Linked DNA regions of Solanum lycopersicum. The protein of the gene in region 2 interacts with the protein of the main gene of each other region in a pairwise test. Links are inferred from orthologs where the notes say so. Each region holds a gene or a part of one and is shown on either strand. Other genes may lie near its edges.

Evidence for each region.
Region 1: the proteins of ARF10A (region 2) and IAA32 interact in a two-hybrid assay, tested with the Arabidopsis thaliana proteins (2 studies listed by BioGRID). The link is inferred for Solanum lycopersicum from reciprocal best matches to the Arabidopsis thaliana genes ARF10 and IAA32.

What each region holds. Positions count from the first base shown.
Region 1 is NC_090804.1:3,347,356-3,351,351, reverse strand, and holds IAA32 (auxin-responsive protein IAA32), read right to left. Parts: upstream 2,547-3,996; coding exon 2,393-2,546; intron 1,811-2,392; coding exon 1,574-1,810; intron 1,348-1,573; coding exon 1,239-1,347; intron 776-1,238; coding exon 709-775; downstream 1-708. UniProt on the Arabidopsis thaliana protein: Aux/IAA proteins are short-lived transcriptional factors that function as repressors of early auxin response genes at low auxin concentrations.
Region 2 is NC_090810.1:59,526,227-59,528,746, reverse strand, and holds the end of ARF10A (auxin response factor 10A), read left to right. Parts: intron 1-242; coding exon 243-1,129; intron 1,130-1,267; coding exon 1,268-1,330; intron 1,331-1,450; coding exon 1,451-1,532; 3' UTR 1,533-1,692; downstream 1,693-2,520. UniProt on the Arabidopsis thaliana protein: Auxin response factors (ARFs) are transcriptional factors that bind specifically to the DNA sequence 5'-TGTCTC-3' found in the auxin-responsive promoter elements (AuxREs). Could act as transcriptional activator or repressor.

The DNA.
Region 1 (3,996 bases), on a different chromosome or scaffold from region 2:
TACTCAACAGAAAATAAGAGCTTTAGTTTCGGCTCATCGAGATAGGGATAGGAAAAAGAGAGATTTTCGTCGTTTGTGGATCACTAGGATAAACGCAGTAATTCGCGAAAGGGAAGTATCCTATAGTTATAGTAGATTAATACACGATCTGTACAAGAAGTTAGAAGATTTTACTGACTAAATAAAATGGAAATAAGTATAATGAAAATAAAATCGGATTCCAATCGATTTCACCATTCATATGTTACATTTCATCATAAAAGGTATCAAATAACTCGACTTTAATAAAAAAAAAATATTGTGATCTAGGTTTGTTATTGGATAGGGTAGGCTAGGGAAGCCCAACCTTATGGGCTGGCCCAATATCGATCCAATCACCTTGGGCTACAAGCCCGCTATTAAGTTCGATCTTTCAATCATAGATAATTATCTAATAGACATTTTAATTTACGATAAAATTAGTTAAAAAAAATTTATTATCTAATAATCTTAATATTTATAATCAAGTTTAATGGACAAATATTTTGAAGCCAAAAAAAAAAAAAAGCATTGATCTATTAAGATGTAGAAACAATTAACTTTTAATACAATACCACATAAGCTATATATTACCATGGACCTAATTAATATGGTCACTCAATTAATAGAAATATTAATACAACTAAAACATGTCAGAAATTTATCAAAACGTAACTTAGTAAAAGATGATCAATTGGGGAAGAATGCTTCATCTTTCCTCATAATTCTTAGCCTCTTCACTCGATCTGCAAATTCGCTGTATGAATAATAAGAATTTAAGTTTTATGTATTAACGATATTAAAAATATTTAAATGATAATGTTATTTATAAAGTATGATAAATCTATACGGTGATAACATTAATTTAAATTTTATAAAATGATAACAAACATGTTATCACAAGTCAAATCATGTAAACTCAAGTTAAGGGGTTTAATTTAATCCCTTTACCCCATATTTCTCACGGATCATTTTGGATTAGTCATCTAGACCTAGTTTGAATAAAATCTGACTCATGTCAATATAGACAAATGAATGAATCATTAGTTCGATTGAACTTAAACTATTCAGACAAATATATTTGTATAAGTTAATTTTATCGTTCAATTATTAATTTGATTGAACGTCGACTACGACAAATCATATTTTTATAGATTAATTTAATTGTCCCTACCTAATAATATCAAAAAATACTTTTTGATATTAAAAAAAATACTCACTTCCATGGAACATCACCAACAATCCTCCATTGGTCATTCCTATCTTTGTAAAATAATGAGAACTCTGAACCATCTTGGAATAGCCTTAGCCCATCCATATTTTGTTTACCTTTACACCATTTATAAAAGAAAAAAAAAACAAATTATGAGGTAATTAAATATATCATTAAAAAAACGAAGAATTCACCTGCTCATTTATTAATTCAGTTTTGACATGTTCAGTTCAAATTCAGTGCAATTCGCTTATTTGACATCGCGACCTACCTATAACTACATTAAAAATGACCTAATGATAGTGTAATGATAAATGATAATTTTGATAGGTTGGAACATACCAAACATGTCTTCAAGTTGTGTTGCAATGCTAGAATAGCTTGAATGTTCAAGAAGACAAATTTTTCTTCCAACAATAACTCCATCCATATTAACCTTCACATATTCCCATCTCTCTTTGCTTTGAATCCCTTCACTTTCATCATCATAATTATTAAAATTTGTAGGATATTCACTTCTTGAATTTTTGCTTAATTGTGGATGCAAATGTTGCCAATCTATCAACTCATCATAGCCACCTGCATAAAGTACTTAACAATTAAGTCCTAATTAAGTTGTTCGGACTCTCTAAAAATGTTATCGAAGCTATATCATATCATCAAATAATGTGCTTTTTATGAAGGGTTCGATGCACATCCACAATGACTTTTTTAAATAGTCCGAACAATATAGATTAAATCCATTATATATTAGTTTCACTAATATCAATGAATTTTAACAAAACATTTTCAACTTCCCAATAGCTTGGTCAAAACACTCTTTAAACTTTTCATGTCACTTCTATAACTATATATATATATACATACATAAGAATAAGAATGATTCATAAAAATAACATCAAATATTAAATTGTTTCCAAATTAAAAATATGCTCATCAATCTTATAACATCAGTATACAATGATTAAGAAAAAGACTTGGGATATTTCACCCTTAACCAGAGACTCGAGGTATGAAGAAGTCTGGTAGAATTCTTAAATAGGTCTTATATAATGCAAATCTGAATTAATCGAATCATAATACAGATACCAAATATCGAATGGACCAAAGAGTTGATTGAAGAATAGTCTTGAGAAGTAAAAGATGGGAACATAAACATACCATGAGTAGATGGATAATAGGCCTCAGGCTGCAAAGCTCTAAGACTTAGTCCCAAATCAATAAAATTACCATTCTCTTTATTATTGGTTTGATAATAAACAGAAGGAAGAGTTGTTGCATGGTTTAGAAGATATTCAGAAGAATTTGAATCCATATTTGACTCTTTCACAAAATAAATATTTTTGCTGTGTCAATGTAGAGATAAATAGAAGCAAGATATGTATATGATTGAAATAAATTAAAGAGACATATAAGCTCTATATAGTAGTACTAGTTGTTTAGTGGCAAATTCAGAATTTAAACGTTTGAAGAAAAAAAGTGAGGGGAGTCTTGAAAAAATGGTAATAAATTTATCACCTATAAATTATGAGTTTGAACGGTAAATCGATTATTGATGTTTGAGTCTGAATACATAGACGGTCTACATCACACTTTATTGGAGTGATGCAACTAGCCTTTTCGATAACCCTATGTGAACACATTATATTTCGTGCACCAAAATATCCCTTTTTATTTGTGTACAAAATGAAGGAAAAAAACAATAATTAAAGCAATGAATTCAGTTGAAGTCACGTAACACATCACATTCTCCCTTGTACTTTTCATGTCCATGCAAAACAAAACACACTTCTTGCAAGAATAGAAAGAAATCTAGCTATATGCTTGAAAAAAAGAGACATATAATTAAGTTCTGTATAATATATAATATAGTACTATTCAGTGATAAATTCAAAATTTAAATATATCAAATTCAAAATAAGTTTATACCTTTTATATATATCCATTCTTTTCATATATATATATATATATATATATATATATAGTTCGAAAAAGAAATATTTAAAGCAACAATAGAATTATTGCTAGCGTCAAAGTATATTGTGCACGATTTCATATTCCTTGAGGGGAGGCCCTTCCCCGGACTCGTGTTTTGTATTTTAAACTATCCTTTTTTTACGTATAAAATTTAAGTGAGAGAAAAAAATAGATTGAATTGAACTCACAGAACGTATATTCTAATATTTTTCATGTCCATGCAAAACAAAACACACTTGTTGTAAGAAAAGAAATAAATCTATCTAGGTTAAGAAAAATGCAAACATGGATGGTGGACATAGAAATAAAAGGAATTTATTTCCCATAATCAATCATTGTAGTGTTAGTTAATTTTGTATTATTATTTTTTAATTTACTGACATTTATAACATGGAAAATCTCAATGGATAACAGAAAAAAAAACAAGATATGGGCACAAAAAATCCAACAAAAGTAGGGTTCATATGTTGTATACTTCCAACATTACAAGGATCTTTGCAATATGTTCTTCTTCATACCTTTAAATCTTGTATTTCACACTAAAAAATTTTGCTCTATCGAGCCGGATTTAAAATTTAAATTATATTTGAGTTATTTAAGTTGCACGTTGAATCTACTTATCAGGTGGAACTAATATTTTTTTTATTTTTCATCGAAAAATTATACTTATACATATGGGTCAATTTTTTTTAATGTATATATATTATTGGGCAACTTTCACATATAGCAAACAAAAAATTCATATTTGTATGTTATAGCAAAGTTTTCATAATTGCGCTCCATAGCAA
Region 2 (2,520 bases):
GGGTTATAAGTTTTTGGGATCTGTCCAAGAGATGTACTCTTCATCTTGTGTCATATTGGGAACTTCAGAAGAAATGACTCGGTATTTCATTGGCAAACTATGGCATAAAATAGATGTTACATTTTTTCTTTCATACAACTACTTTGATGCCCTCAAGATATAAAAATGCAATATGCAGTTGCGGCTCTGCTCACCTTTTAGTCTAAGTTTAGGGTGGTAAAACTTTTCTCCATGTACTGCAGGTGGCATGGGATGAACCTGATTTATTGCAAAACGTAAAACATGTCAGCCCATGGCTTGTCGAATTGGTCTCAAATATGCCAGTCATTCACCTCTCGCCCTTCTCACCGCCAAGAAAAAAGCTGCGTCTACCACCAGATTTCTCACTTGACAGCCAGTTTCAGTTACCATCTTTTTCAGGCAACCCCCTCAGGTCCAGCAGTCCTTTCTGTTGTTTATCTGACAACATCACTGCAGGCATACAGGGAGCCAGGCATGCTCAATTTGGAGTACCTTTATTGGATCTTCACCTTAGCAACAAATTACCGTCAGGACTGTTACCACCAAGTTTCCAGCGCGTTGCAGCCAACTCACAACTTCCTAATGTCATCAATAAGTGCCAAAATGACAGAAATGATAACATCTCTTGTTTGCTTACAATGGGTACTTCAAGTAAGACATTGGACAAAAATGATAGTGTGAATACACCTCGGTTCTTACTCTTCGGTCAGCCAATTCTGACTGAGCAACAAATCTCTAACGGATGTTCTGTCAGTGCTCCACAAGTAGTCCAAACAGGGAAAGACTTAGGCAGGATACAACCGATCAACGAAAAACATCCTTCTGAGCAGAAAGGCAGCATTCAAGACAATCTATCAAGTGCAACATTTTTCTGGAATCGAGGTTATCATGCAGCTGAACTTGGTGTACTCAATACTGGTCACTGCAAAGTATTCCTCGAGTCAGAAGATGTTGGCCGTACACTTGATCTGTCAGTTATGGGATCATATGAAGAACTGTACAAAAGACTTGCAAACATGTTTGGACTTGAAAGACCAGATATGCTGACCCGTGTGCTCTATCATGATGCAACAGGTGCTGTTAAACACACCGGAGATGAACCATTCAGGTGCCTTGTTTTTTCCAGTACCTTCTGCTTTTGATTATTTTTCCAGTGAAAATGGTCGTGTATACGTGCGTGTGTGAAGCACACATTGTTTATTTAAAGTTTAATGAACCTTTCTCTCGGACTTGTTTAATTTTGCAGTGACTTTGTTAAGAGTGCAAAAAGATTGACAATTCTGATGAACTCAAGCAGCAATATTAAAAGGTAATTGTCAACCATACTCTTCCTTGATAGCTAAGTCCTTAAAACCGGAAAGTATGATAATTTTCAAAATAAATGTTCCGTATTTGCCACCTTTTGATTTCTTTTAACCTTGTATATCAGGAAATGGTTAACTGGTCTCGCAACTGCTGAACGTGGTCTAGATTCATCAAACCAGGCAGGACCTCTTAGCATCTTTGCATAGCCTCTGTGTGTATAAGTACTTTTCTCGTTCTTTTGTTTTTCGTAACGACTGCTTCACTGCTAGTACTAAGGAACACTATCAGTGAAAATATTATGTTTGTTTCTGTATGGATATTTTGAGTTGCTCTTTGTGTTGAAAACATTCAATGTGCTTTCTTTAACAGTCTGTGGTGCTGTTGTTGGTGTTTTTACTCTGAAAGGACATGAATATGTGAGCCTCCCCCCCCCCCCCCCCCCCCACACAACCACGATGCCCTATCGTTGCATGCTTTATTGTTGAATTGTATGATCTTCTCATCAGATAAGAGTCGATCCTTGTGATTGAGTTTGATTCTTTTTCATGAATCAACTACATTTACATTCATACTATGTTATATTTTGTGATTTTTATTTAGCAAGGTGTAACTTCATTTAAAATGTTAAATGTTTCAATTAGGAAACTAAGAGCAACTATGTTTTGGTCATATGTTTTCATTTATATGTGACATGTTTGCATCTTAGTATTAACATTCTAATATCTTATTGTCCATAGTACTTGGCATGTCAATATTTAATTCTCTATTTTAATGATCAATCACATATTGGAAAAATGACCAGGAACTATGTGTGGAAATAAATGAATGGTCTAGAAGCAAATAGAGTAAAGACATTCATTTCTCACCTACTTTTGTCTCCTTTAAATACTTATATTAATGTGAACTTTGTTCCTTTTTAACTTTTTTTTTTAAATCAAAAGGAACAAATTAATCTAACTTCGAGGAACTATCAAAAATAATTTTTTTATTTCATAAAAATAGACATAATATTTATAAATATCCTATTTTCTTCAAATTTCACTTGTGAGATTTACACTTTATATCTATAAAATGTGTAACTAACAAATGATGGTATTAGTAATAGATGTCCTATTAGTACATGGATAAGCATTGGTTAAGATATAACTATCTGTAACCAAATTAAATAATGCATAAGAAATAATATCTAACGTA